4 linked regions of the Saccharomyces cerevisiae S288C genome follow. The protein of the gene in region 4 binds, or shares a complex with, the protein of the main gene of each other region. Each region holds a gene or a part of one and is shown on either strand. Other genes may lie near its edges. The genes, in order: SNF11, SNF5, SWP82 and SNF2.

Region 1 (5,905 bases), on a different chromosome or scaffold from region 4:
ATGAAGTAAAACAATGTGGAAAGCAAATAAATAATGGTTATAGTTTTGCACTTATATAGATATCAATAAATGATATGATATGACTAAATACGATAGGACCAGGGGGGAAGGAATATAGATATGTGTATGACAGAAACTACATGCATATACGAGTTTGTACCAAGTGCTTCTTAATAAACACCGTCATCTGGCCTGTTTTGTTCGATTCTAGCGTCATCTCCCTTTTTTTTCAAATCTTCCATTCCAGGTTGCTTATAATCTGGATTCTTGCCGTGTTCCAAAGTGTCCAACCTCTTCTTGTTGCTATCAAACAAACCCTGTTCTTTTTTCTCAGCTTCATCTTGATTGTTCTTTAGGTGAGGAAAGGCGGCCCTAGTGACGATTGAGAAAGACGCCCTTGGCGATTTACGCATCAATTGTCTTGGAGTGCGCAAAAAAGTGGTTCTCAACATTATCAAATATATTCCTGTGTATTATATATGTGATACTGCGGTCTGGCTTCAACTGCTGTTGGAGTATTGTAGGAACAAGTATTCAAGGCCAAAAAAAACTAAGAGCCAACTCAAAGGCCATATCTACCTAATCAAATCTTGGGACCTTTATATACTTATGTGCTTTTACGGTTCCCTTAGATTCTGTACAGGAAGAAGGGGTTGATACAGGAACAAACCCTTTACAGTAAAGGTATCCTTAAAAAAAAAGGAAGGTAGTACGTATATCTCTCCAAGAACTGAAAAGAACCCAATCACCGGAATTAAGCAGTGATATCTCAGTACGGTCAAGGATGTAGGGTAGCACCAGTAGTAATGATTTTAATTATACTTGGCAATTTTAAAATATACAAAAATTATATGTAGTATTTATAATTAGACATTTGTAAAGTGCGTTAAACTAATGATCTAGTTGTCGTATTCTTCCTTAATTAGTTCTCTCTCCATATCGATCCATTTCTGTTCTGCGAAGTTTTTGTCCTTAGCAACATTGGTGTTCTCAGCAATGATCTTGAAACCAACTCTTTCATAAAATGGTATCAATGGCTCGTGAGCAATAAGGACAATTTTGTTACCAATTTCCTGATTACTCAATTTCTGAATGTAGTCAGTTAAAAGTAAAGTAGCCAGGTTTTTTTTCTGGTATTCTGGCTTGATTACTACAGAGTGAATACCAATATGATTACTCGATTCCACTTGTAATTTGCCCATGCTTTCGATAGTAATGTATTCATGAGGTATCTTAGTACCCATAATATGACCAATTAGTGTCTCCTTTTTAACTTCTTTGCCCTCGATCTCTCTGATGAAAAGACCTGAACATAGCTCTGGACAATTGATCAAACGAAAGCTGATAATTTCTTCTGAAGCTCTTTCGTTTGGTGGGAAACCTTGGCTTTCCAAGTTCAAAATCTGCTTTAAATCTTCAATGATTAAGGGTCTAATATACATATGAAGCGGTAGCGTGCTACTTGAGGAGGCCATTTTAACTTTTTATTTAATCGTAATGTATTGGTGTTATTTTTTCTCCGAGAAAAGTATTCTGATGTCCAATTCTTCTTAATCTAGTTTGTTGTAAATTTTTCTTACAAACACTTGCTCCCGCTTCTTGTCCAGTGGGATGTTCGTCGTTCTTCCATTGCTTTTCCATTTTTGCCCGTTCAAAACTATTCTTTTTATGAATTGACAGAAAACCAAAAGCAAGCCGATTTCAGGTTAACCCTTTATTAAAATAAAAAAAAAAAGCATGCATAACACTAATAATATATTATTAAAAAAAAAGCCAATCTATATTATTTAAATTATCCGAAATTACTTTTATTACATTATGACATTCTATAGTCTATGCAAGCGGATCAAAAAACCATTCCATCTTGGTGCCACAAAATACTCTCATGCCAAAAGTGCGAGCTTCGTTTCTTGTATCCACTTTGTCGCCTAACCTTATATGAATCCACTTTTTTAAAACTTTTGGTTGTAAAACAAACCAGTTTATGATGATGAAACTTGTCATTGCATATAAAACACCAACGAAAAGGTCAAATCTATAATGGTGGTCCAGATACATGGTAGCCCACCATTGTAGTATTATATATAGGATAGCCCAGAATTTTGGTATAAACCCATCGTTGACTATTTTAAAAATCCATTTGTTTGTGAAGTTCGTGTCTTCATCATATAAATGGACAAACTGGAGAGGTTTCTTATTGCCATTGCTGTTAATAATGCTGCCGTCGCCGCCGCCGGTGCTTCTTTCATTACTGGATACGGTGAATGAAGATGAAGGGGAGGAGGACCGCTCATTTGAAATATCTACAGGCTCAACGGTACCCAATGGTTCCATCTCTAAGTCGTTAGGGCCAATCGTGGGCGGTATGCTATTGTCACCTTCATCTTCGCTGTCTTCCTCACTCAACTTGAAAGTGGAAGAATCATTATTGTGCATTGTGAAACCTCCAGCATTGGAAAATCTGTGTTTTAAGCTGGTGGACCTTGAAACCAAAAACAAGAAACATTGAAATGCAATGGCGGAGTGTAGTGAAGGAACAGCACCAAACACAATAGGAGACATGTGAAATCCTTTAGTGTTCAAATGAGTACCCAAATGGCTATCTACTCTTATCAAACCGGCAGCAAACCCTTCCTGGGTGTAATTAACATGTTCGGTGTCATCAATACCGTACAGATGAGTAAACCATGGGGAGGCCATTGGAACAAGCAGATGGGTAAGGACCCCCGCTATATTTTGTAATCCTAGGGCAAAACTAAAGCATTTTAAAGTCCCCGGTGGTTGGAAGACGTATAAGTATACAGCTGTTAAAATTGGAGCTGTCAAGTGCAGGATGACATAGGAGAACCAAGCCAGTAAATCCTTGGTCTTAGTAAAGTTTGCATCCGACTGGTAAGCAAAGAAATGATCAATGTTGAGTATAACAAATGTAAACAGGGGCAAGGCAAACGGTATGAAAATTGTCCGAAATCTCTTTTGGATCGGCCGCTGCTTGCGCTTGCAGGGGTAATGAAAAATATTTGCGAACCACTCTAACAGATTATAGTTAACGTGCTTAATGTAATAGATGTAGTACCAAATGGCAAAGGGAATACATATCAGAAATACTAAGAGAAATGCAGAAGATGATATGAATGACCAGAAAAATAGCTTCGAAGTATTATCGGGCAATTGTACAGTAAGTTCATGCCAATAGTCCCCAAAGAGGAATTGATCAGCAAAAAAAGCAAACTTGCTATGAATGTCAGGTCTGAGCCTTATGGGTATCAGACCAGCGCGCTTGAATATAGACAGCCAAATAAACACTGGCGCAAAATTAAGCATGAAGTTGAACGGCAGGCTTATTAGATTACGTTGGTTCAAACTTGCATTATACATGTTTTTGACGAAACTCGCCAAAGAAAATATGACATTCATGCTTTCTTAGACGTTGAAAGACTTTAGGTGATTCTTAGCAGAAATGATAACGTCCAACCGGTGAAATAAAGGAACAGTTAGGGTGGCAATGAAAAAGTAGCGATGCTTATGAAAACACTATGCCTTAGGTTTCCTTTTTTTATTTTTATTTGACAAGTAGCGATTACTCTTCTATTGTTCCTGGTTTTTGATGCTCGAATGTATTATATAAAAATGTTGTGGCCGGAGGTCTGCATTTCTAGGCATTTTTCCTTTTTCTTATTTTTTTTACTTTCCTACTAACTTTGCACTTCGTAAGAGAATTTACACCAGAACTCTCGATTGAGGCGAAGAAGGCGGAGAAAAAAGCCGGTAAAAAAAAAAAGCGGAATCAATCAGCACAATCAGAGGCGTCAAGAAGCGGCGCGGGGATAATGCTTTTTTCCCGTGGCGTTCACATTTTTGTTCCGCGGAAAGCACGTGAGCGTAATCCACTCGGGAAGGGCGCAGCTGCCGTGGCCAACTGAAGTAATCTTTAGCCGTTTATCGCCGCGCAAAACGGCAATTGCACTTGAGACCCCAACGGCGCTGTGCAGCAGGGTATTCTACTACGTGTTAGCTTGCCTTGCATTTCCCCATGCGTCTCGAATAGGAATTATTCAAGATGGATTATTGGCATTTACGAGTAACCAAGGATAACCCCGCTGTGCGGTGAAACCACCCTCTTTTCACGTTTCTTCAAGGCCAGTGCAAACGCGAATAAACATATCTACGCTATATATAGATATGACGTTTCTCAAGCCAACAGAAGTAGATAAAGCAGCCAGGAGGGTAGAGAGTGTTCAAATTATAGCAAGCCTTCTTCTACCTGTTTTTTTTTGATGATTGTTTTGCCGGGTAACAATCGACTTTCGGGCAAATTTTTTTTCCTTTTTTCTCCTAACAGTATATACGGAGTGGAGAACAGACTTCCCATAAAAGCATATTACGTGGGGTCGTAGTAAGATTGCCGTTTATGATACCCTCTATTCAGGGCTCAGAGCGCATCACGATCGGGAGTGTAAATTCAATGTGCATATAAGCAAAACACACAGATTTCCTTTTTTCCCAGAAAAATGAGCAGTGAAATTGCCTACTCGAATACGAACACCAACACTGAAAACGAGAACCGCAATACTGGCGCTGGCGTAGATGTAAATACAAATGCAAATGCAAATGCAAATGCAACTGCAAATGCAACTGCAAATGCAACTGCAAATGCAACTGCAGAGCTGAACCTCCCCACGGTCGATGAGCAAAGACAGTATAAGGTACAACTGCTATTGCATATCAACAGCATATTACTTGCTAGAGTTATTCAGATGAATAATAGTTTACAAAACAATCTACAGAACAATATAAATAATAGCAATAACAATAACATCATCAGGATACAGCAACTTATATCTCAGTTCCTTAAAAGGGTTCATGCCAATCTTCAATGCATATCTCAGATAAACCAAGGAGTGCCCTCAGCGAAACCACTGATCCTCACGCCTCCTCAGCTAGCCAACCAGCAGCAACCTCCACAGGATATTCTTTCTAAACTCTATCTTCTCTTGGCAAGAGTGTTCGAGATATGGTAGAATAACTTTGTTTCTCTTCCCTTTTTTATTTTGTTTTTTTTTTTTTACTTTTGCAATTTTAATTTTGCATTCAGCTACAGGTGTGATTGCATACCCGCAGAGCAAGTACAGGAAGCATAAGAAAAATAGAATACGAAAAGCAGAAAAAGAAAGGCAAATAACAATCACTCAAGTACTACAACTGCATGAATTTATCGTATGTAATGTACCCAACGTAAATAATAATATTAGTATTTTAAAATCTATGACATCAGATGTAGTTATCTTACTGCCAGCCCTATTAATACTACTTTCTTATTATCTTCTTCGAGAGCCACCTTCGTCATCGTCGCAGTAAGCATTGTCATCTTCATCATGCACGTCGGTAACGGAAGCCTAATCTCAATATCTACTAGTTTACTCTACGCCATTTGGAGCGTAGCCCCTTCTCCTTTTGACTCTCTGACTTTTCCCTCCCCTCCTTCTCTTCTGGCCTAGCCTAACCTAGTCTAGCCTCGCTGGACCCCCTCCTTCCAACGGTCAACCCCTTCCTTTCTATTCTCTTCTCGTTCTCTACGTAAGGAACTTGTAAAAGAAAAAATTTGGTGCCATACAGGGAAATCGGCAGTGAGACGGAGCGGCCGAGGGTCTGATTATAGGGGTTAGTTACGCTCCTACTATGACGATCAAGGAGAGACAATCTCGATTCTCATTTTCTTTGGGACAATACGCCTTTAACCCCCCATTTTCGGACATCCCTGGAAGTCTCAGCTGATTCATTTAAATACTATCAATTTCCGTGTACTTTCGGAGATCTTTCAGTCAGCTTTTCCTTCATCTTTTTCAGTCTAATCTAAGGAAGAAGAAAAGCACTTCAATACGAATAGCTACCAACGTACCCAGTT
Region 2 (8,412 bases), on a different chromosome or scaffold from region 4:
CGGAAAGGTCTTAGACAGATGCTACCATCAATTATGTGATGATGTCTCTAACTTATCCTGGGACGCATTCATTACCAACACCAAGTTGATTGCTCACTCTGTGGCCACCTATGCTGACTCTTTCGAGGGTTTCCCAAAAAGAGAAACCCAAAAGCACAAAGAGGTGGACATATTGAATGCTCAACAACCACAATTTAAGTACAGGGCCGACTTCTTGATTATTTAAGTGTACTGTTCACATCAAGTATTTCTGTATAATTATCTAAAAGAAAATAAAAACCCTCTTTTTTTTAACTGCACGTGCATCAAGGGGATCACAGCCTCCTTATCAAAGTGAAAAAAAGGTAGAAAAAAAAACTGAAATTGTGATATAAAAGTTTAAACAGGAAATTATTGTAAATTGAACAATATGTGTGAAGCCCGTTTTTGGTTTGTTATTCCCAACTAACCATACCCTCATAGATTACTCTGCATTTCTACTATATGGTTGAAACATTTAGTTTTGCTCATTTGGCTTATTTGGTCTTTGAGTCCGTTTTACAGGTAGTCATTATCGCACTCGCTGGTTTTTGGAGCGCTAGTTCTGGTCTGCTGCCCAAACAAAGTCAAAAAATCATTTCTCTGTTGAACGTGGACCTTTTTACACCATGTCTTATTTTTAGTAAGTTGGCCAAATCCCTGTCCATGGCCAAAATCTTTGAAATAGCCATCATTCCTATTTTTTTTGGTTTGACTACTGGTATTTCATTTATTTCCGGAAAGATAATGAGCCGTATCCTAGACTTGGATAAAGATGAAACTAATTTTGTGGTGGCAAACTCTGTCTTTGGTAACAGTAACTCTCTACCTGTGTCCTTGACATTATCTTTGGCTTACACTCTGCCCAACTTAACTTGGGACCAAATTCCTAATGATAACAGAGATAACGTTGCATCAAGGGGTATTTTATACTTGCTGATCTTTCAACAAATCGGACAAATGCTGAGGTGGAGCTGGGGTTACAATAAGCTAATGAAGTGGTCTGGAGAGAACACTCAGCATATGCCACCTTCTCAAGTGCAATCTTTGTTGGAAAGGACGCCCAACATTGATAACGAGGAACTTGTCAATGAGGAACAAGAGGAACAAGAATTGCTTGAAGAAGAAAATAACAGAATGAACTCATCTTTTTTGAGTTCGAGTTCCATCGGTGATAAGATTTGGCAAAAATCATGCACTGTATTTGAGAGAATCAGAGCGAACCTTAATCCTCCGTTATATTCCATGATTTTTGCTGTTGTTGTGGCAGCAATTGGTCCGTTGCAGAGAGAGCTATTTATGGAAGATGGGTTTATCAATAACACATTTGCCGAGGCTGTTACGCAGCTGGGTTCAGTTTCTATCCCACTGATCCTGGTTGTCCTCGGTTCTAACTTATATCCTTCTGCGGAAGTCTTCCCTAAGACGGTTCACCATAGCAAGTTATTGATCGGCTCCATCATCGGAAGAATGATTTTACCTTCTTGCTTCCTTTTGCCTATTATTGCTATTGCTGTTAAGTACATAAACGTGAGTATTTTGGACGATCCAATTTTCCTTGTTGTCGGTTTTCTTTTGACTGTTTCCCCTCCTGCCATTCAATTAACTCAAATCACTCAACTGAATGAATTTTTCGAGGCAGAAATGGCCGATATTCTATTTTGGGGGTACGCTGTCTTAAGTTTGCCTGTAAGTATTATTGTTGTCTCAGGTGCAATTTACGTTTTACAGTGGGCTAACCCAACTTAATACAACTTTTCATTCCTTTGTATAGAGTCTTCATGAATGAAAGTCTTATTCATTTTTTTTTTTTTTTAGCATAGTTTTATATTCCTTTTTTATTCCAAGACTTATATTCTCATTATATTCTATTTAGTTTCGCATGGAATTTCAAGTACACATATAACTACAGCCTTACTTGAAAATTGCCTGTCTGGGTCTTATACTTTGCACCCTTGTACAGCTTTGTATTTTTGCCAATTGTTAATCCAGATACAATATCGATGGCTTCTACATAGATTCCACTGGCCGATTGTCCTATGTAAGAATATTCTAAGGAGACTGTTTGTAAATCAACTTTTTTTGTAAAATTTGGCCCAGTATTTTCATACTCAATACAGCCACGTAGTACAGGTACCGTTCCAGTGGCAGTTGATTTATCAAAAATCCATTGTCCTTGACCCATGATAATGCTATTTTCAAAACGGCCATGAGTATTGCGCAATATTTTTATCTTATATGCTATTTCATTTGGATCAGCATTCTCAACATTGAACTGTAAATCTATTTTTAGGTCATCAACTTGTGAAACTTTTTTGAAATTTTCAATATTTAAGGATAACTCAAATTCATCAGAATCTTTACCCAATCCATTTTGGAAGTGTAAAGACATCAAGCCAATAGAATTCATCCTTACTCCGGATTGCTTTACTTGAGAACTTAAATCGACGGAATACTCCAGCAATCTGAACTTCCCATCTGGTGGTATAAACGTTATATTAGAGGGAGAAAACACACCATCATTGATTTCAACACAGTCATGCAAACTGGGTATACCTATATCATTTCCCATAGTGTTTAATTTTACTGCAACTAGAGGATTATCATTCAAATAAGATCTCACGTCCACTATTCCATGGATACTTCCAGTGAGCAACCTTAGATGTGATTTTTTCTTTTCAAATACAACATGGAATGTTTCTAACAAATCCACATAAAGCTCATTATTCTCATGTTTGCTAGCCCTTGAAGTTCTCCAGGGAACAATCTCTTCATTTTCGATTAGTGAATTACTACCACGAGAAATCTGATTTTGTTGTAGCTGCTGTTGCCTTTGTTGTGGGAGTTGCACAGCCTGCTGTAAATTATGGGCTGTAGAACTTATGAACTTCGATAAATCCGATCTTTCAGGAACAGCTTCTTTAATTTTATTAACATAGAGCATATCACTCACATTTGGTTCACCCGCTTCGACGCAACAGTTAAAAATCAAACTGATTCTATCATAATTATTAACAATTTTCTTGATACTTAATTTATCCTTGTCAAAATATTCTAACAGGATACGATCTATAGTCTCTAAAAAGGTAAAACAATCAAGCGGGCCTTTTGACTTCGAAGTGGAGGCTAAGCACCAATAATTGAGCTTATTTATAACTGAGAAATACTTATAGACCTCTAAATCTCTTCCAACCATTGAATGGTCTAAATAATCATCACTACTGCTATCTTCGAGCAATTGAGGACATGTGGACTGAACGCGGGTCCACAGGTGCTTGAAGGAGGGAGCTGTTGCACCTAAAAGATACTGGAAAATAAGTTTGTTCTTTGTATCAGTGATATAGAATGACAAATACATCTATTTTGGTTGGGTTGGTAAGGTTTACAGCCTCTGTTGTTGCCCAAGTCCTGTTATCGCCAACTTTAAATAAATCTCTTCTTGTTCTTTGACCAAAAATTTCATTTTTCGTCGCATTTAAAAGAAACTGAAATTTCAAACATAAACACCAAAACAAAGCATCATCAAGGGAACATATAGTAAAGAACTACACAAAAGCAACAATGAATAATCAGCCGCAGGGTACCAACAGCGTTCCAAATAGTATTGGAAATATATTTAGCAACATTGGAACTCCATCTTTTAACATGGCGCAAATTCCGCAACAGCTGTATCAGAGCCTCACACCACAACAATTGCAGATGATTCAGCAACGACACCAACAGTTACTGAGGAGTCGTCTACAACAACAACAACAACAACAACAACAAACTTCACCGCCACCGCAAACGCATCAATCTCCACCCCCTCCTCCGCAACAATCTCAACCCATTGCTAATCAATCAGCGACTTCTACCCCTCCTCCTCCTCCAGCACCACACAACTTACATCCCCAAATTGGTCAAGTGCCCTTAGCTCCAGCGCCTATTAATTTGCCTCCACAAATTGCTCAGTTACCTTTGGCTACACAGCAACAAGTTTTGAACAAGTTGAGGCAGCAGGCCATAGCAAAAAATAATCCACAGGTTGTGAATGCAATTACTGTTGCACAACAACAAGTGCAACGCCAAATTGAGCAGCAAAAGGGACAGCAAACGGCACAAACTCAGCTAGAACAGCAGAGGCAATTGCTGGTTCAGCAGCAACAGCAGCAGCAACTTAGAAACCAAATACAGCGACAACAGCAACAACAGTTTAGGCATCATGTGCAAATACAACAGCAGCAACAAAAGCAACAACAACAGCAGCAGCAGCATCAGCAACAACAACAACAACAACAGCAACAGCAGCAACAGCAACAGCAACAGCAGCAGCAACAACAACAGCAACAACAACAACAACAGCAGCAGCAGCAGCAGCAGCAGCAAGGACAAATACCGCAATCTCAGCAAGTTCCTCAAGTTAGATCCATGAGTGGACAACCTCCCACCAATGTTCAGCCAACTATTGGCCAACTTCCTCAACTTCCAAAATTAAACTTACCCAAGTACCAAACTATTCAATACGATCCACCAGAAACCAAGCTACCATATCCAACCTATTGGTCAGACAAAAAAGCAGATACGGATACTTTGTTGTACGAACAAATTATCCAGCGTGATAAAATTAACAAATATTCGCTAATAAGAGAAACCAATGGTTACGATCCGTTTAGCATTTATGGATTTAGTAATAAAGAGTATATTAGTAGACTGTGGCATACACTGAAGTATTATCAAGATTTGAAGAACACTAGAATGAAATCTATCACAAGCACTTCTCAGAAGATTCCTTCGGCAAGTATTTGGGGAAATGGTTACTCAGGGTATGGTAATGGGATTACGAATACAACTACCAGAGTTATTCCACAAGTAGAAGTTGGAAATAGGAAGCATTACCTAGAGGATAAATTAAAAGTCTATAAACAGGCCATGAATGAGACATCGGAACAGTTAGTTCCCATAAGATTGGAGTTCGATCAAGATCGTGACAGATTCTTCCTCAGGGACACTTTGTTATGGAACAAAAATGACAAGCTTATTAAAATTGAAGACTTTGTGGACGACATGTTGCGAGATTACCGATTTGAGGACGCTACGAGAGAGCAACACATTGATACTATTTGTCAATCTATACAAGAGCAGATTCAGGAGTTTCAAGGAAATCCATATATAGAGTTGAATCAGGACCGTCTAGGCGGTGATGACTTGAGAATTAGAATCAAGCTGGATATTGTCGTGGGACAAAACCAGTTAATCGATCAATTTGAGTGGGACATCTCTAATAGTGATAACTGTCCAGAAGAGTTTGCAGAGTCCATGTGTCAAGAATTAGAACTACCAGGTGAGTTTGTGACTGCCATTGCTCACTCCATAAGAGAGCAAGTTCATATGTATCATAAATCACTGGCACTGTTAGGTTACAATTTTGATGGATCAGCGATAGAAGATGATGACATTAGAAGCAGAATGCTCCCAACGATTACTCTTGATGATGTTTATAGGCCTGCAGCGGAAAGCAAAATTTTTACTCCAAACCTATTACAGATTTCAGCTGCAGAGTTAGAGAGATTGGATAAAGATAAGGACAGAGACACAAGAAGGAAAAGAAGACAAGGTAGATCTAATAGACGTGGTATGCTCGCATTGTCCGGCACATCTGCAAGTAATACATCTATGAACGGCGTTCACAACACAGTAGCAGCAGGAAATGCTTCATCGTTGCCACCAGGAGAGATTTTACTGCCAGATATTGCAGATATTCCAAGAACTTTCAGGACTCCAGTACCTAGCACTTTAATGCCTGGTGGTGTTGACGTAGGCCCTTCTGTGGAATCGTACGAATTGAGAAACACAACCACTTATAAAAGCAGGCCAGATAGACCTAAGCCAGTTTCACCTCCTTGTTATATTATTGACCATATTCCGGGTCATTCGCTACTACTTTCTATTAAACTGCCTGGGAAAGTTAATACAAAAGAAGAGTTCGCAGCAGCGCCCAATGACACAAGTAGTGGCACCAATGCAATGCTTCCGAGTCCAGAATCGCTGAAAACTAAGCTGAATAGTAACATTCGCGCTGGTGTGACGATACCTTCAATCCCAAACCCGATTGCCAATCACACTGTTACTAATTCACCCAATCCCACACTGCAGCCAGTAATCCCAGGTGGGGCAGCTAGTAAATCGGTACCTACACCTAGTCTTCCTATAGCACCTCCAGTAGCACCACATGATAGCGAAGCGACATTGTTGACTAATAGCAATAATGGTAGCAGTAACAATAACACACAGAATACATAGAAAATATATACACATATATAAAATATACCGGAGATGTAAATAACCGTGGAAGAATTTGTATTATCATCGTGTTATACGATGCGGAGTCCCTTTGCGCCTACTTTTTTTAGAAGAATAGTACATAACCTTTATAAAAATCTTCCAATTTAGATACATAAAAAGAGCATGAGAATAACAAGAACACGTAGTCTAGGAAACTAAGCGCTATGCCAGAGCAAGAACTACTTATAGGGCAAGAAATGAATACACTTCATGCAGGTTCATCTACTGATGGCATAAATGTCGGAAACGCAGGACGAACTAGAGACACACAAACTGGCGTAGAAGGGGAAACGGAAATAGGGTCTGACGAGGAAGATAGCATAGAGGACGAGGGAAGCAGCAGTGGAGGAAATAGTACGACAGAAAGACTAGTACCACACCAGCTGAGGGAACAAGCAGCCAGACATATAGGAAAAATAGGAAGACATTTTAATATTCTTGATAGACTTTTTAAGAAACGTACACAACAGTCTTCGGATATACAACAAGGTGCCATGTTTGATGGTGTCTTTAGCAATTTAAGCGCAAAACCAGATACCACAGAGACTGAAGGTAATAACGAACAAGACATACCACCTACATACGACGAAGCTGCTGCTGATATGGCCCCCTCGTATTATGGAATGGATTTGAACAATTCAGATATCTACTACGACGAAATATGCATTGAGGGGCTTCCTGTAGGAAATATAGCAAATTTATTATGGAATATCATCGTAAGCACGAGTTTTCAGTTCATTGGATTTTTAATAACCTACATTTTACACACATCTCACGCAGCAAAGCAAGGTTCAAGGTTTGGATTAGGGTTAACGTTCATTGGATATGGTTATTCAATGATTCCCAATGATGTTACTTCAAAAGTCGGCAAAAATAAAAGCTTAAATAGAATGGAATTAGAGGATCCAAATGAATTCGATGATGTTCGTCTAAATTCACAATCAACGACACAAGATAAATTTGAATCACATTTGAATCACGGTCTGGATGAAGAAAAACAAAACATACCATGGTTGGCTGTTTTTGTGGCATTTCTTGGGCTATTTATCACCCTGAAGAGTATATACGACTACATTCAAGTCAAAAAATTGGAAAAGAAATACCTCAACCAAAGTCAAAATCAAGCATAAGCCATCTTCTTCATTATGATAAAAAGAGATATATAACTTTTTTAAGTGATCGGCTGGTAAATAGACTTATAACGAGTAGAAAACATTAGATGATATATTGTACACAATAATACATTTCAGGCTAGCATAACTAAGACCTTTTCATAGATAGTGAAAACAATACCACCACTCAAGACCAATCTCCCAAGTCTAGGCGTAGCACCTTTCCAAAACGTCTTTAACCCTTCTTCTTTGAAAATGGTTGCAAAACAATTCATTGTAGAGGAGTATTTGGTGGAATCCAAACTTTGCATTCTTGTTTTCACAGTATCAAGGGGCATGGTGGAATAGACCGTCACAATACCACTAAATGCACCCACTAAGAAGGTTAACCCGGATGATAAAGGTTTGTCTTTTGGCGAATCCGTATAATCTTGGATCAAGGTCTTAATCTTATTGTAACAACCCAATCTAACGGCTTGGTTTGCGGCCTGTCTCATGGAAACTGGCAAAACACCACGATAAAGACCAGAAAATCCTTTATCACGGACTAATGATGAATAGTTTCGTACTACACCGCGCCCATTATTATGGTATTTTGGTGTAGCAGATTGTTTATCATCGATCAAAGCAGTTTTGATTGCTTCAAAAGGAGTCACTGCGGCAACACTTTCTAATAGTCCCGCACCTAACCCAGCTATCACCCCTCTTGTACCACTTAGTTCTCCAGTTTCACTATCTCTTAGCATGTCTTTAATGGTATCAAAGCCAAGAAATCTAATACCCGCCTTAGCGGTGTTTCCAATAATAAATGCGGGACATCCGACATAAATGGAACCAATGCCCTGAGTTTTTGCAGTTTTATATATCAATACCAGAGGATTTCTTGATGCCTTGGAGGCCTTATCAATCAGCTGCAGCCTTGTTTTGGCAAACTCAAAAGGATATGTTATACATGCTTCAG
Region 3 (7,346 bases), on a different chromosome or scaffold from region 4:
TGACTGATTTGGCCCCACTACCTGCGGCTTCGTTGAGCGTTGCAGGTGGGTCTATTTTTTTGATCCAATAGCTAGCTAAAAACCAGCTTATGACAGCTAGTAAAAGCAGTACCCCCAAAATTCCATACCACCACGCAATACTTCCATTTCTTCCTGGAACTTTTACATTCATACCGAACAGACCAGTAATAACATTTAATGGAACTAACATTGTACCTAACATAGTAACTTTACCCAACATTTCTGTAACTTTATTATTAGAGTTAAATGATTCCACTTGTAATTGGGCCAGGTAGTTTGCATGTGATCTAGAAAAAATCTTTTCGTACGCCAATAAATTTTGAAACATCGTCAACAAATGATCCTGAATATCACCTAAGTATAAAGCAATATCTCCCCTTGGTTGTGATGTTGTTTGCATATAGCTATTTGATAAGCTTATTTGGTTATTACTATTATTCTGGTTCACATTCTCTTGTTCCGCTTGTAAGTTCACCATGTTAGTTTGAGATTTAAGCACTGGCCCAATACCATTAGTTTCATCTTGACATCTTTTGGCGAACATTTTGATAACATCTGCTTTACCGCTCAAGAGTCTCATCAGCGTCATTGTCTTACGCCTACTTTCACCAATCCTTTGTAACATGGCTGCAAAATCCATATCACGGGTCATAAACACTGAATCATCAATCGAATCAGCTTCATACTCGATGGATTGAATAACCGGAGCAAAACTATCTGTGATATCATCGATTAAAGCATAACATAACCAATCTGAATTGACACTGACATAGTCACGTAATTGTCTTACACGTCTTCTTACATTGGCACAGTGTGATATTGGGTCAAAATGAAAAGTCAAGACACCTGACCTAAAAACAACGATGTAAACATTTATAGGTTCAAGATAATTCTCCGATTCTTTATCATTTTCAAATGTATGGAAACAGACAAAGTAATAGGATTTGAAAAGCTCTACCTTTTCACGCGTTTCTTGCATCCTGATATCTTCCGCGGTCAAAGGATGGATTCCAAATGTTTTTGCTATGCAACGCATTTCATCATCAGTTGGACAACTGCAATCCAACCACCACGTTGGATCGCCTCCCTTGAATAACTCATAAAACGTCTGTCCCTCGGATATCAAAGAAGGGATATCACTAGCATGCACAGTTTCATCAGATTCAGAGCGGAAGAACGAAAATCTACTAGGAATTTGATATTCTGTATTTTGGAGGGTATAATACGCCCGGCTATAACTCGAATCATTTCCTTCTTTTTCACCTTCAATCTTATTTCTACCAAATGTTACGTCAGGGTGTAGATCAGGTTTATCATCTTCCCTCACAGATTCATTGTTTTCAGATACGTACATCTCATTAACGCTGCAATTTTTTTCAAGAGTCCGTGAAATTTCAGGTGTATATTTCAGAGCTGCTGAGGATCCTGAAGTGGAAGCAGAGTTAGTAAATCCAGTATCTTGGTCGGTATGATTGTATGTTCGTTCACTGTGCCTTTGATGGTTCGCCAAAGACAGATTTCTTTCAGCATTTGAAATCTGGGCATATTCTTCCAACTCATCAAAATCAACACCATTAACTCTTGTATGTAATAGTCGAAACATTGGAAAACAAACGTCTTCTTCTGTTTCTTGAGAATCCCTGGATGCTTGCGATATCTCACTATGGAAAGATACCCTGCTATCCATACGTAACGGTTTAATTCTTCGTGTGTCATTTCCCATATCGGACTTTTGCGATGCAGTTCTTGTCAACAACGTTGTAGGATTGACTGATGAATGTGTCGATATTGTAGAATAGGTTCTTCTCTTAAGTTTCGCCTGTTTGGGATGCGTACCATGCTCTGATTCAGCCGATGTTTCAAAGATTGCGCTAACTAGCGAAGCCTTACGAGCGCTTGTAAAAGTTCTTGCCGAGGAGGAGGCTTCTAAGTTGCATCTGTTACTTGACGTACCGGCAGGTAACGCCGTATCATGGCCTCTCTCTAAAGCCGCATTCTTTGGCAAAGAGGGAGCGATGCTCTCTACATGAATCTGCTTTTGGTGAGTTTCAGACTTTGCTAGCCTGGATGGCCTCGCATTAGAACTTAAAAGCGCGAAAGATCTTAACTGGTAACGTTTCACTGCTTCTGCTTCTGCTTCACCTTCAAAATCCATGCGGCCACTTGTGGATATATTCGTTTTCTCCACATAGCCTCCATTTTCCACTCCACTATTCTCCCCGTTAGAGGAACTAAATTTGTGTCTAGAATCTTTCGTTTCGTCCACTTTCAATGCAAGCGCTTCGTGACGTATTGGTTGTGCATCAGAATACTGCCTATAGTTCTCTAATTTTGGGTACTTGCCTGTCTTCATGGAAGCCGCCGTATTGTCAACGGATTTTGACCTTGGTAAATCTGACGATGAATCAAATGAAGTGGATAAGGACGACATTACGAAGTTTTTTCACGTTTTCTCATAAAAATTCAGTACTTCTATAAAGGTGATTAAAATATATTCCTGTCGATTTTTTTATCCAACTGACAGTACATTTCCATGTAAGTAATTGTTTAGCAATAGTAGTCTCTACCGTCCTTGCTGAACATTGAATAGAGGAAATAAACGCTGTTGATTTTACCTTTCCACTTTTATAATATAAACCTCTACGTTAAAATATCATATGCTCGAGGAAAACCTGATTTCTCTGGAAGCAGCCACTTTCGTGAACAGCCAAACCAAATGCTGCATTTTTCGAAGAAAATTTTTATCTCAAGGAGTCGCTTTTGTAACTTATAGCCGGTCAGGCAGTAAAAACGTACCTGAAAGAATAGTTTGATAGTAGGATATGGACAACGGTTAGTTTTGTCTGTACTTCTTGTATACAGGGCCTCTGTCAAATGAATGTGCGTATAAATTAATGGAGGTCTTGCATAGTTTGTTGAAACTTGGAAGAACTGTCAACCTTCACATATATGATATCCACGGTCTAAGCACGAAGGGCACTTCTTGTTTCTCACATTTAGGCAACTACGATGTGGGAAGTACAGCTCAGTTACGGAATCTAGCACGTAGGAAGAATAAGCGATAAGTGTTCCCTTCAACACATCCATAAAGGAGTTTAGCAGCTGATATATTTGTCGTATCTAAAAAAATTTTCAGAGTATTATGACCTCGTCAAGTACAACGGAAATATATCCTGACATGGAAAGATTAGCCGTTCAGAAAGTGGCCCTGTGCATTAAATATAGTTGTAGTTTCAGCCGTCTATATTTTTTTTTCGAACCATCACTTTTCCCTTTCTGGACTTTTCTCAATGTAAAAACAAGAAAAACATGGAATGTATAATACTATAAATAAAAAAAGTAGGAAGAAGAACCAAAACAAAGGGCGTTTTAAAGAGAGACGAATATGCTTGGCGAAGATGAAGGGAATACCGTTCTTGAAAAGGGAAATAATCCTTCTGTAAAACAAGGAGAGGTTGGAGCTGTATTTATAGTACCCAAAATACTTATCAGAGAACATGAAAGAGTGATACTTAAGCAAATTCTGCAAATCCTGGATCAAGATGAATTGGTTCAACCTCCCTTAGACAAATTTCCCTACAAAAAATTAGAATTACCGAAATATATAGATGAACTTAAGACGAGAGACGCTACTAATACATCCTACAAGATGATACAATTGGATGCTTATGGTGAGAAAAAAGTGGGTTCGAACGGTGAATTATTTGGCGGTAGACATTATTTGTTCAACACCTTCACATTCACGGCTCATATGGGTGTTCTTCTGGTACTTTTACAAGATGTCATTAAAGTGTTATACCAAAGCAACGCAACGCATGACGAGGACGAGTTTATTGTCCAGCATGATCAAATTCTGGTAATGGAAACTTCTGAGGAACAAACAAAATTTTTGGCCAAAAATGGTGTCATTCCTGAAGAATCCAAAGGATCTTTTAAGTATATAACTGCCAGGTCAGCCTTTGTTGAATTCGGTGCTTCTGTTATTGCCGGTGGTCAACGCATCGTTGATGATTATTGGGAATCTTTAGCTAAAAAGCAAAATTTGTCGTCTCACCAAAGGGTTTTCAAATTATCAACAAATTTAATTTCTAAAATCTCACTTTTACGCCCCTCCTTCCAAAATAACAGGATTAGCAATGCCAATGAAATTAGTGCGAACACTAATAATACCTGTACGATTTCTACTTCAAAATTCGAATCACAGTATCCAATAGTCACGGAACAACCGTCAGCGGAGATTAGAGAAGCCTATATTGAAAACTTTGCCAAAGGTGAGCACATTTCGGCAATTGTTCCTGGTCAAAGCATTAGTGGAACATTGGAACTCAGTGCACAATTTAGAGTACCGCGTTATCACAGCAAAAACTCATTTCAACAAGCTCTGCAAATGAAGGCAATGGACATACCAATCGGAAGACATGAAGAATTACTTGCGCAATATGAAAGTCAAGCTCCTGATGGTTCCGCTTCAATTTCACTTCCTAACCATATTCCATCTGTCAATCCTAGCAATAAACCAATCAAACGAATGCTAAGTAGCATTCTTGATATTAACGTTTCCTCATCAAAAAACAAGAAGTCTGAGGAGAACGAAATGATAAAACCCATGAACAAGGGCCAACACAAAAATAATACATCGTTAAACATAAACGGCTGGAAATTTGAATCTTTGCCATTAAAATCCGCCGAGAATTCAGGTAAACAGCAATATTATAGAGGATTGCCGTTATATGAAAAAAACACGCTGCTAGAAAGGTTGAAACAGCTGACACCGAACGAAATTAAAGAACTAGAGCATTTACACGATGCCGTTTTTGTTAATACCGGTTTGCAGAACGTTAGAAAAGTTAGGACAAAAAAATGGAAAAAGTACTGGCAGTACAAGGCAGGTATTCCTATCGGTTTGAAACGGTCTCAATTGGATGAATTCAAAAATAAATATTTGAAAGATGTGTTGGCGCAAACGAGTGTTACTACAAATTTTAACGAAATAACGAATACGGATGAAACAATAACAACAAAGAGGGTACCGAACCCAAACTTCCTAGGAAATTGTAACATTAAGGATTTTAAACCTCCATACATTTATTCTCATGTGAACAAAGTACCACAAAATGTCGCTGGGGATAAAACGGCTGTTAAGCTGGACACTGAAGTAAAGAACACAAATGCTAATCCAGTGGTGGCGACGGATCCGGTCGCCGCTAAACCGGACAACCTGGCTAACTTCAGCAACGAAGTAGCTATGAATAATTGAAAGAAGTAAAACATAATGTAGGGAACACTCCAATAAGAAATAAACCATTGTTGAAGTAGTAATATAAACTATCGTTCGTTATTTTATAAAATATGTATTGTTACATATATATACATATATAGGGAATGCATGTGCACAATTGGTTTGAGTGGAAGGAATAATCCAAAATCATAGCAGTTTGGTCTTTATGATCTCTTGTCTGATTCTGAATGTGTAATATGCCATAACCAACATAATGAAAATTAATGGAAGTAACCAAATCATTAGTTTTCTGGCAATTTCGTCGACCTGAGGACCATCTTGTCCATGACGTTTGGTAGCTTCCCTATACTTTTCTTGTTCAACCAGGACTTTCTCCAATTTCTGATTGATTGATAAGAAGTCTTTGAAATTTTCTTTATCCTCAGCGATTGCATCATCGGTGGACGTTCCCTTTTCATTATTAGCTGGTGGCTTAGAAGAGAGCTGTTTAGTTATCGTAGTCATGAATGATAATAGCTCTTGTTGGACCTTAATGACATCATTTAGCTTTGTTTCTAAAGCATTGATATCGTTCGCAAGAATTTTACCTTCAACTCTATCCAGTTTCTTATACAATTCATAGTTTGTAATTTTGTCTTTGTCAGCGTCAAATGCTGTTTTTTCAATCAATTTTTCTTTGCCGGTTTGTTGGTCAATGTATTTGGTGATCAGTTTTGGCTGACCCATTGCATTCACATTAGGGATCAAAGAATCTTCAATCACGCCATTAAAAAATTGCATTTTGAATATTTCAAAAGACTCTGCATTATTATTCACTGCTCCATTTTGAGCGGTGACACCAATACGGTAAGACCCAGAGGGAAAGCGAACCTTCCTAGTTTGGAAACAGACTTTATTGTCCACCTGAACTTTTAATAAGTTGTCGTCTTCCAAATCATAAGTTACTCTGATCGTGGAAGGAACGGAGGAATCCTGATAACCCATCAAACAAGATGCAAAACTCTGATCATAGATTTTCGTCTTATCTACAGGCTTTTGACCATCATTTAGTTGACCACGAAGTGTTGGGCCCAATGGACCATTGTTATCCACTAATAATTGTAAACCATCATAGTTCACTGGCCCATTGTATAACTGCTTATCGCGTGGTACGTTAGAATCTTGAACAAACCAAAATGATATGCCACCGTCGGTTTGGCCAGAATAACCAACACTCCTAAATGTCCACTCCATAGTAAAAGAATCCTTCAAATCGAATCCTTGCTTCAACCAAAGTGAACCCTTGGAATTTTGCTTAGAAGTCAATACAATTCTCCCTTCCTCTAGACTAGCTTGTTCTCCAGTTTGCCAGTTATTGGGCACTTTACGTGCATTAATGAGATCAGGGAGCGAGTAGTCTGAGCTTAATTTGGATGCATCTGAAGTGTCACCCAATGGATGAGCTTCTAGCAATCCAGCCCATGTCGCTAAGACGGTAAAAACACTCAACAGTACTGTACTTTTCATAGTAATTAACATCATCATAAAATACAAATTCCCTGATGCTAACTATTTGTTAATTTTATTGGTATAATTATAATTATTCAATACCAATTAAGGCTTCTATTAAAAGATCAAAAACATTCTTAAGAGTTCATACTGTTTCTCTACTCGTGTATAGTGATACCAAGACGTAATGACAATAATAGATGGAAATTGAAATATTATGAAACAGGAATAATATTCCGTTGAATTGTAATAGATGTTGTACACCTGCAAGCGAGCATGCTATCATTTTGCGACTATTTTTGGTCTGAAGACCTTGTCTCAGGTCTAGATGTGCTTTTTGATAGATTATACCATGGTTGTGAGCAATGCGACTTGTTCATTCAATTATTTGCGTCAAGAATGCAATTTGAAGTCAGTCACGGGAGGCAGTTGTTTGGTATAGAAGCCGGTATGGACAATCTGAAGGCAGTGCAGGAAGATGAAGATGAAGGGGTGACAGTTTCGAGGGCCCTGAGGGGAATTCTACAGGAAATGTCTCAGGAAGGGACGCATCACTTGACAATAGCGTCGAACATAGAAAGTTTGGTGCTGCAGCCAT
Region 4 (10,598 bases):
AATAGAGTCACAAGGCAATATTGTTATATTTGGGTCAGATACTTCATATATATCGCCCGGAACTAGTTCTGATGAGCTTATCGTTGTCCAAAACTTATCCCTCAAAACACGAACGTCACAATGAAAGTGCGACATTTCAGCTAAGTTTCTCGATACTTTCTTCTGTTCATTCAATGAATCAAAAATAGACAGTACAGAAATCAAAAAAATGCATGCGGCGTAGTAGTAGTATTCATCAATGCCCCACAAAATTATCGAAAATACTTGAAAGACATAAAACGGATGCAACACTTCATTGAATAAAATTTCTGAAGTAGTTTTCATTCTCAAATTAATTTGATTTTTACCAAACGCAAGTTCTCTATCTTCTTGAACCCCCTTAGTTAAACCATTTGATACGGTACTTAAATCCACCCAGTCAGGATCTATCCAGTTATTGTTAGTTTTAAAGAGATCATCGAGCGGTGAATATATGAACTTAATATATCTGTATTCAAATGTGATCAAGATAGGCACATTTGGATTAATTTCATTGGCATGGTGGTGGCTCAAATTGATATCATTTGGTTCATATGACGGATTAGGGTAATTTTCAAAAGGTAAAACAGTACTTAATGGTCTATTATACCACTGTCGATCGATAGGTTGTATGACAAACTCACCAAACTCATTTTCTATCACGACCCATTCTGCTTTAGCCAATGGCACTTTCACGCCATATAATTTAACTTTGAGATGGGGAAGCCATCTCGTTAAAAGATAAACTAATCCGAAAGTCAAGAAGCAGCACAGGTTGTAAATAATATACCAGAATTTTGAGGTCTGGTAAGCAGCGATACCAATAACTAAATCCTCTTCCGCAATGTAAAACCTTTGGTAATGCAAGTTTGGTGCATACTGTGGATAAAACTTTTCATGATAGTCAGGTTTTAGATATTCGCTATGCTGATTATGAACATCATCATGACCAGAAAAGCTTCCTCTATTATTTTCGCTTGCAGATCGCCTACTATCTGAAGATTCTAAAGAATGTGTAGAAGACTCGTCTTCTAGTATTTCATCTGTTTGACTTTCTAGTTCAATAGGAATTCTTTCTCTGGTCGTATATCTCGATAAACTGGATGATGAATGTGTAGCGGAATGATAAACGAACCCAGTGTCAGAATTTTCTCCCAGCCTTTGTGGTGCCCTTGAACCAGAGCGACCCCTCTTACTGAAAGATCCATAAGACTTTGCATTTGAGAGAGATGATGCTCTGGAAAAACTTCGAATAGAAGAACGCCTGGAAGATAGGCCCGTACCATAGATTCTATCTTGTTCATAAGCGGGGGTGGCATCCCAGGCCATGTCATAATCTGTATTTTCTAACGTGGAAGCGCCTTCAGCATTGGATATTTGCTCCTGAGTGAAAAATCGAAAATGAGAAGGGTTTCTAGAAGAGCTTCGAGACTGTTCAGCCGAGGATAATACTAAAGGCTCTGATTCAGTCAATCGGCGGCCTCTCTGCTCTAGGTTCCCTGAAGAATGCGGACTTGGGAGGTTGCTTGATTGAAAAGAATGAGGGTGATGGAATGATACAATAGAACTTGGCACGGCTTCGAATGTTGCACCTGCGTACGGTTCCGAATTGTTCTGATCCAGTACCATCGCGGAAGTCAATGTGGCCGCCGTAGAAGTAGTGGCTGTAGAAGAAAAAGAAGCCCTCGGCATTCTTCGGTTCCTTTCACTCCTTTGGCCATGTTGAATTTGGTTTGAAGAGGGAATATCCATTACCGGAGTATATGCAAGATCTATCAGTAAGTCTGGGCTCCTTTTTATTTTAAAGAAGAATCTATTGACTCTGAACTATTTTCAATCAAAAATAAATTCACAAGTCCAACACCTCCAACTCTATGGTATTGCGTTCTCTTTTTGCCCTTTTTTCCTTTTTTTCTTTTTTTCACTACTCTTTCCTTGATTTCCATTTTTTTTCATTTTTCACTCTTCTATCACCTCTTCATACCCATACCCCCTGTTGGCCGCGGCTGCCCTAAATACACACATATATATATATAAAACAAACAAGGCATTTTTCAAATTAATAAAACTAATAAAAAAAGCTATAGAGCCTTTTCTTAGAACACAGTGTTGAAATATTCGCTTTTTTCTTTTTATTGAAACTCCTTCACTTCCAAAAAGACACGATTCTTAATGGCTATTCTGAGTGAACATAAGGACACTAAGAACTAACAAGTAATTGAAAAAAAAAGAAGAAGACATGATGAAGAAGAATTAGTGAGCAAAATACAGTTGAAGTTCCTAACGCTTATTTTCCTTGCAGATTAATTCCAATACATTCGCCACTATTGGAATTTTGCAGGTAGCCAATTTTCGCGTATATATACTAGGTTTAGGAAAAATAGCCGCCGGTAAAAATAGTGATAGGCTGTTACCCGAATACCGTTGTTCGCGATATGTTAAAACCGCGTTTGAAAGACAAATATCAACAAATTGATTGACGAAACGGGGCCATCCTGAGGCGGTAGGACAATAAGTTAAAAGAAAGGTTACCTCTAGTCTCAATAAAGAAGATATTTGTGACGTACGTGGACCTTTTGTATATAAATCATCGGGAAGGTCAGCTATTCTGTTGTTTCTCTAATCGCGACTTTCTGCTATTTTCACGACTTTCGATTAATTATCTGCCATGAACATACCACAGCGTCAATTTAGCAACGAAGAGGTCAACCGCTGCTATTTAAGATGGCAGCATTTGAGAAATGAACACGGAATGAACGCTCCGAGTGTGCCGGAATTTATCTATTTGACTAAAGTGTTGCAATTTGCTGCCAAGCAGCGACAAGAATTACAAATGCAACGCCAACAGCAAGGCATTTCAGGTTCTCAGCAAAATATTGTTCCAAATTCTTCAGATCAAGCAGAACTGCCGAATAATGCTTCCTCGCACATTTCTGCTTCTGCTTCCCCGCATTTAGCTCCGAATATGCAATTGAATGGAAATGAGACCTTTAGCACTTCTGCTCATCAATCACCAATCATGCAAACACAGATGCCATTAAATAGCAATGGTGGTAATAACATGCTACCACAACGGCAATCTTCGGTTGGTTCATTAAATGCAACTAATTTTTCACCAACACCAGCAAACAATGGAGAAAATGCTGCGGAGAAACCAGATAACTCAAACCATAATAACTTAAACCTTAATAATTCCGAGCTTCAACCGCAAAATCGATCATTACAAGAACACAACATACAGGATTCAAATGTGATGCCAGGTTCGCAGATAAATTCTCCTATGCCCCAGCAGGCGCAGATGCAGCAGGCACAATTCCAAGCACAACAGGCGCAACAAGCGCAACAGGCACAACAGGCACAACAAGCACAAGCGAGACTGCAACAGGGGAGAAGATTACCCATGACAATGTTTACTGCCGAGCAATCCGAACTGTTAAAGGCCCAAATCACATCTCTAAAATGTCTAGTAAATAGAAAGCCTATTCCGTTTGAATTTCAGGCTGTTATCCAAAAATCTATTAACCATCCTCCAGATTTCAAAAGAATGTTACTGTCTTTGAGTGAGTTTGCGAGAAGAAGACAACCCACAGATCAAAATAACCAATCAAATCTCAATGGCGGCAACAATACGCAGCAACCCGGCACCAATTCCCACTACAATAACACTAACACTGACAACGTTTCTGGGCTTACCAGAAATGCACCTTTAGATAGCAAAGACGAAAATTTTGCATCTGTTTCACCAGCTGGTCCATCTAGTGTACATAATGCGAAGAATGGCACCCTCGATAAAAATTCGCAAACTGTAAGTGGCACTCCAATCACGCAAACAGAATCGAAAAAAGAGGAAAACGAAACCATTTCAAACGTAGCTAAAACAGCTCCTAATAGTAATAAGACCCACACCGAGCAAAATAACCCGCCAAAACCGCAGAAACCCGTTCCTTTAAACGTCCTTCAAGATCAATATAAGGAAGGAATAAAAGTGGTAGATATAGATGATCCTGATATGATGGTTGATTCTTTTACGATGCCCAATATCTCACATAGTAATATCGATTATCAGACTTTATTGGCCAATTCGGATCATGCAAAGTTTACTATTGAACCTGGCGTTCTACCGGTTGGTATTGACACACATACCGCTACTGACATTTACCAAACTTTAATTGCATTGAACCTAGATACTACGGTAAATGACTGTTTGGATAAGCTACTAAATGACGAATGTACGGAATCAACCAGGGAAAATGCTCTTTACGATTACTACGCCTTACAATTATTACCGTTACAAAAAGCCGTAAGAGGTCATGTATTACAATTTGAATGGCATCAAAATTCTTTATTAACCAATACACATCCAAATTTTCTTTCGAAAATAAGAAACATCAACGTTCAAGATGCATTGCTAACAAACCAACTTTATAAGAATCATGAATTACTTAAGTTAGAAAGGAAGAAGACTGAGGCAGTGGCCAGATTAAAGTCGATGAATAAATCCGCCATCAATCAATATAATAGAAGACAAGATAAAAAGAATAAAAGGTTGAAGTTTGGCCATAGACTCATTGCTACGCATACTAATTTAGAAAGGGATGAGCAAAAGAGAGCTGAAAAAAAGGCAAAAGAACGTTTACAGGCTTTAAAGGCGAACGATGAGGAAGCCTATATAAAATTATTAGACCAAACCAAAGATACAAGAATTACACATCTTCTAAGGCAAACAAACGCATTTTTAGATTCTTTAACAAGAGCCGTGAAAGATCAACAAAAGTACACTAAAGAAATGATTGATTCCCACATAAAGGAAGCATCGGAGGAAGTGGATGATTTGTCCATGGTCCCCAAGATGAAGGATGAAGAATATGATGACGACGACGACAATTCTAACGTCGATTATTACAATGTCGCACATAGAATTAAAGAAGATATCAAGAAGCAGCCTTCAATATTGGTTGGTGGTACCTTAAAGGACTATCAAATCAAGGGTTTACAGTGGATGGTTTCGCTTTTCAATAATCATTTAAATGGTATTTTAGCAGACGAAATGGGTCTTGGTAAGACTATCCAGACGATATCCTTACTTACATATTTATATGAAATGAAGAATATTCGTGGGCCATATTTAGTCATTGTTCCTTTATCTACACTGTCAAATTGGAGCAGTGAATTCGCGAAATGGGCTCCTACCTTAAGAACTATATCATTTAAAGGTTCGCCAAATGAGAGGAAAGCCAAACAGGCTAAAATAAGGGCAGGTGAATTTGATGTAGTTCTGACTACCTTTGAGTATATTATTAAAGAAAGAGCACTTTTATCCAAGGTCAAGTGGGTCCATATGATTATTGATGAAGGCCATAGAATGAAAAATGCGCAATCCAAGCTTTCTTTAACCTTGAACACACATTACCATGCAGATTATAGATTAATTTTGACAGGTACACCACTTCAAAACAACTTGCCAGAATTATGGGCCTTATTGAATTTTGTGTTACCCAAGATTTTCAATTCCGTGAAATCTTTTGATGAATGGTTCAATACACCCTTTGCCAACACCGGTGGGCAAGATAAAATTGAGTTGAGTGAAGAAGAGACGCTTTTGGTTATCAGGAGATTGCATAAAGTCTTGAGACCCTTTTTATTGCGTCGTTTGAAAAAGGATGTAGAAAAAGAATTACCGGATAAAGTTGAGAAGGTAGTGAAGTGCAAAATGAGCGCTTTACAACAAATTATGTACCAACAAATGTTGAAATATCGTCGTCTTTTTATCGGTGATCAAAATAATAAGAAAATGGTAGGTTTAAGAGGTTTCAATAATCAAATCATGCAACTAAAGAAAATCTGTAATCATCCTTTTGTATTTGAAGAAGTTGAGGACCAAATCAATCCAACAAGAGAAACGAATGATGATATTTGGCGTGTTGCTGGTAAATTTGAACTATTAGATAGAATTTTGCCTAAGCTTAAGGCAACTGGGCATAGAGTATTAATTTTTTTTCAAATGACCCAAATTATGGATATTATGGAAGATTTTTTAAGGTACATTAATATCAAGTACCTGAGGTTAGATGGTCATACAAAATCTGATGAACGTAGTGAGTTGTTACGTCTATTTAACGCCCCTGATTCTGAATACTTGTGCTTTATCTTATCAACTAGAGCGGGTGGTTTGGGTTTAAATTTACAAACTGCAGACACTGTCATTATTTTTGATACTGACTGGAATCCTCATCAAGATTTGCAAGCTCAGGATAGAGCGCATAGAATAGGTCAGAAGAATGAAGTTAGAATTCTAAGATTGATTACTACGAATTCAGTTGAAGAAGTTATCCTAGAGAGAGCCTACAAGAAGCTAGATATCGATGGTAAAGTCATTCAAGCAGGTAAATTCGATAACAAATCTACATCGGAGGAACAAGAAGCGTTGCTTAGATCTTTGCTGGATGCAGAAGAGGAACGTAGAAAGAAAAGAGAGTCTGGTGTTGAAGAAGAAGAGGAGTTAAAAGACTCAGAAATCAACGAAATTCTTGCTCGAAATGACGAAGAAATGGCTGTTCTTACAAGGATGGATGAAGATAGATCAAAGAAGGAGGAAGAATTGGGAGTAAAGAGCCGTCTCTTAGAAAAGAGTGAATTACCTGATATTTACAGTAGAGATATTGGTGCCGAGCTCAAACGTGAAGAATCAGAATCTGCTGCTGTTTACAATGGAAGGGGTGCAAGAGAACGTAAGACGGCAACTTACAACGATAATATGTCTGAAGAACAGTGGTTAAGACAATTTGAAGTTAGCGATGATGAAAAAAATGACAAGCAGGCAAGAAAACAACGAACAAAGAAGGAAGATAAGAGCGAGGCGATTGATGGGAATGGAGAAATTAAAGGCGAAAACATTGACGCTGATAATGACGGTCCTAGAATTAATAATATATCGGCCGAAGATCGGGCAGATACGGATTTGGCAATGAATGACGATGATTTCTTGTCTAAAAAGAGAAAGGCAGGAAGGCCCCGTGGAAGACCTAAGAAAGTGAAACTTGAAGGATCTGAAAATTCTGAACCACCAGCGCTTGAATCAAGTCCAGTTACTGGCGATAACTCTCCCAGTGAGGATTTTATGGACATTCCAAAACCACGTACAGCGGGAAAAACATCTGTTAAATCAGCAAGAACTTCAACAAGGGGCCGTGGTCGCGGTCGTGGTCGTGGTCGAGGGCGAGGACGTGGACGAGGAAGGCCGCCAAAAGCAAGAAATGGGCTTGATTATGTCCGCACGCCCGCTGCGGCAACGAGTCCTATTGATATTAGAGAGAAAGTTGCTAAACAAGCTCTAGACTTATACCACTTTGCTCTCAATTATGAAAATGAAGCTGGAAGGAAACTTTCTGACATTTTCCTCTCCAAACCTTCCAAAGCACTATATCCCGACTACTATATGATTATTAAGTACCCTGTCGCCTTTGATAATATTAACACGCATATTGAAACGCTAGCTTACAACTCCCTTAAAGAGACCCTTCAAGACTTTCATCTGATATTTTCCAATGCTAGGATATACAATACTGAGGGTTCAGTAGTATACGAAGACTCTTTAGAACTGGAAAAAGTGGTTACGAAGAAATACTGTGAGATAATGGGCGATAACTCACAACTCGACTTTACTGAATTTGATGAACAGTATGGCACCAGACCCCTCGTCTTGCCTCCTGTTGTTACTTCAAGCGTGGCTGAATCTTTCACAGATGAAGCGGACTCGAGCATGACAGAAGCGAGTGTATAGTACCTTCCTAAAGCAATATAAGTACTTATTCGTTTATACGTAGACAAACATTAATCCCTCTTTTTTTTATTGTACCCATTAACCGAGTTGGGATGTTTAATATCTCTAGTATAACGTGCCGTATATTTCCTATATATATATATATATATATTTATATATATTAGATTTTAAGTTAATTGTTCAACTAATTGATCGATTTCGCCTCTTATAATTCTGCTATACATATTTATTTTAAACCATCTCTTTGAACAAAGTAATATGTCGTCATCATAGTGAACTTGTTCTTGGACCTAATTATAAATTTTCCAATACGGAACAAATTATTTGTTCCAACACCCTGCTAGCAACACAGGGCAATATATATAAAGAAGATATATCTACTACTTCTTTTCCTTGAGTATATGTCTTTAATAGATATTTCATGTATTTGATTCATCTTTAATGGAAATACTCGGAGATTATATACAGGTCCGAGATGGCCTTAAAGATATTTCCCACAAATGTATTTACCACTCATTAGAAATGAGTTTCTGTTGTATTACGGGCTCGAGTAATACCGGAGTGTCTTGACAATCCTAATATAACAGTCTTAGGGAAGTAACCAGTTGTCAAAACAGTTTATCAGATTAATTCACGGAATGTTACTTATCTTATATATTATATAAAATATGAATCATACTAAGTGGTGGAAGCGCGGAATCTCGGATCTAAACTAATTGTTCAGGCATTTATACTTTTGGGTAGTTCAGCTAAGGAAGGACGGGTTTTGTCTCATGTTGTTCGCTTTGTTATAAGGTTGTTTCATATGTGTTTTATGAACGTTCAGGATGACGTATTGTCATACTGACATATCTCATTTTGAGATACAACAGTTTCAACAGTCATCAGGGCACATGGCGCAGTTGGTAGCGCGCTTCCCTTGCAAGGAAGAGGTCATCGGTTCGATTCCGGTTGCGTCCAATTTTTAAGCTTGATCAATGTATAAAAGCATATTTTTTTTAATGTTTCTAAGACTAACTAACGAGGGTTATTTTCTAAGCCTCTATATCTTTTAACTGTTTGTTAAATTCCTCATAAGTTATGGAACTTTTTTTGCCCTCGTACCTTATTACTTCAATGAAATAAGTTTCAAAATTATCCATTACTTCACTAATATTGCCCCAGTAACCCGCCTTCTCGATTAAATTGGCAAAGGTATCTTCTTTATTCCAATGTTGCTCAGGCATAACATCAGGTAAAAAGGTTGCGCTACATGTGGTGCCTGTTTTGGGATGCTTAAAATACAGTTCAATACCGTGCTTTCCGAGTTCCCAATCGAAAATGTCCCCATTTGGATTACCACCACCTCGAAAAATAGTTTTGAAGTTGCCTAAGATGTTGCAACTGCATTTCAGGTCCACCAATTCCCTTTTCTGGATCGGAGAAAATCTCCTATCCTCTAAAGCAGCAATCAAGGAATATTTCTCAATACCATGTGCAATCGGCATCTTAGCAAATGTACCGATACATCCTCTAAGTATATAATTCTCTTCGTTAGTGTCTATTGTGTGATGTTTATTGGACTTTTTCTTCCAAGTTATGAACAACGAAGTTTTCTCATTGTAATCTATTTTAAAGTCGGGGTATAGCCTTCTTCTAATATCTTCTAAAGAAAGGCTGCTCGATTTCCCCGGATTCAAGTGCGAATAAAGTTGATAAAATGCGTAAAACGCAAATGGCGATGAACCTTTAGGGCCTTCCATTGATATCTTTGCAAAAAAACTGGATTTTCGAAATAGCCTTAAAGCCATTACTATCGCACAAGCCAAAAACCATCTTTTCAAAGGATCTTATCTGGATACAAATTGACGCAAATTTCTCTTTATATTCCTCCTTTGTCGCCCAGTGTCATGTGCTTATCCCTTGAAAAAAGGGCCGTTGTTCGAGCCTTGCGAGGCGTATAAAAATTTGGTAAAAATTAAAATTGACACGTAAAAGTTAAATAACATGAAGAGAAATATCTTTTCGCAGTCATTTTCAACAGTAAGCATCCACTTAACACAATTAGGAGAGACAAAATTTGACATATAATGTTATTTCTTAATATTATTAAGCTCCTTTTGGGACTTTTTATTATGAATGAAGTAAAGGCGCAAAACTTTTACGATTCCGATCCTCATATATCAGAGTTAACGCCAAAAAGCTTCGATAAAGCGATCCATAACACAAATTACACATCATTAGTGGAATTTTATGCTCCGTGGTGCGGCCATTGTAAGAAGCTCTCTAGTACGTTCCGCAAGGCAGCAAAAAGATTGGATGGTGTAGTCCAAGTTGCTGCTGTAAACTGTGACCTTAACAAGAATAAGGCTTTGTGTGCTAAATACGACGTAAACGGATTTCCCACGTTAATGGTATTTAGGCCCCCAAAAATTGACCTATCTAAGCCAATAGATAACGCCAAAAAAAGTTTCAGCGCTCATGCCAATGAAGTGTACTCAGGTGCAAGAACTCTCGCGCCTATTGTTGATTTTTCTCTTTCAAGAATAAGGTCATATGTCAAAAAGTTTGTCCGTATAGATACACTTGGCTCTTTACTTAGAAAGTCACCCAAACTTTCCGTGGTGTTGTTTTCCAAACAAGACAAAATTTCACCGGTTTATAAAAGCATTGCCCTTGATTGGTTAGGAAAGTTCGATTTTTATTCAATTTCAAACAAAAAACTCAAGCAACTAACCGATATGAACCCAACATATGAAAAAACTCCTGAGATTTTCAAATATTTGCAGAAGGTCATTCCTGAACAGCGACAGAGCGATAA

What was found.
Region 1: SNF2 (region 4) and SNF11 share a complex: the UniProt entries of both Saccharomyces cerevisiae proteins name them as parts of the SWI/SNF global transcription activator complex.
Region 2: SNF2 (region 4) and SNF5 share a complex: the UniProt entries of both Saccharomyces cerevisiae proteins name them as parts of the SWI/SNF global transcription activator complex.
Region 3: SNF2 (region 4) and SWP82 share a complex: the UniProt entries of both Saccharomyces cerevisiae proteins name them as parts of the SWI/SNF global transcription activator complex.

The regions. Positions count from the first base shown.
Region 1 is NC_001136.10:587,928-593,832, forward strand, and holds SNF11 (Snf11p), read left to right. Parts: upstream 1-4,511; coding exon 4,512-5,021; downstream 5,022-5,905. Other genes in the region: FMP16 (Fmp16p), read right to left, coding at 171-452; PAA1 (polyamine acetyltransferase), read right to left, coding at 900-1,475; IPT1 (inositolphosphotransferase), read right to left, coding at 1,834-3,417. UniProt on the Saccharomyces cerevisiae protein: Involved in transcriptional activation. Component of the SWI/SNF complex, an ATP-dependent chromatin remodeling complex, which is required for the positive and negative regulation of gene expression of a large number of genes.
Region 2 is NC_001134.8:776,088-784,499, forward strand, and holds SNF5 (Snf5p), read left to right. Parts: upstream 1-3,579; coding exon 3,580-6,297; downstream 6,298-8,412. Other genes in the region: APE3 (aminopeptidase Y), read left to right, coding at 1-226; YBR287W (uncharacterized protein), read left to right, coding at 484-1,767; APM3 (Apm3p), read right to left, coding at 1,925-3,376; BSD2 (Bsd2p), read left to right, coding at 6,504-7,469; CTP1 (Ctp1p), read right to left, coding at 7,586-8,412. UniProt on the Saccharomyces cerevisiae protein: Involved in transcriptional activation. Component of the SWI/SNF complex, an ATP-dependent chromatin-remodeling complex, which is required for the positive and negative regulation of gene expression of a large number of genes.
Region 3 is NC_001138.5:33,397-40,742, forward strand, and holds SWP82 (Swp82p), read left to right. Parts: upstream 1-3,406; coding exon 3,407-5,278; downstream 5,279-7,346. Other genes in the region: putative Mg(2+) transporter ALR2, read right to left, coding at 1-2,452; EMP47 (Emp47p), read right to left, coding at 5,447-6,784; GTPase-activating protein RGD2, read left to right, coding at 7,025-7,346. UniProt on the Saccharomyces cerevisiae protein: Involved in transcriptional activation. Component of the SWI/SNF complex, an ATP-dependent chromatin remodeling complex, which is required for the positive and negative regulation of gene expression of a large number of genes.
Region 4 is NC_001147.6:852,347-862,944, reverse strand, and holds SNF2 (SWI/SNF catalytic subunit SNF2), read left to right. Parts: upstream 1-2,686; coding exon 2,687-7,798; downstream 7,799-10,598. Other genes in the region: YPK9 (putative acid anhydride hydrolase), read right to left, coding at 1-1,770; YOR289W (uncharacterized protein), read right to left, coding at 8,833-9,588; protein disulfide isomerase MPD1, read left to right, coding at 9,868-10,598. UniProt on the Saccharomyces cerevisiae protein: Involved in transcriptional activation. Catalytic component of the SWI/SNF complex, an ATP-dependent chromatin-remodeling complex, which is required for the positive and negative regulation of gene expression of a large number of genes.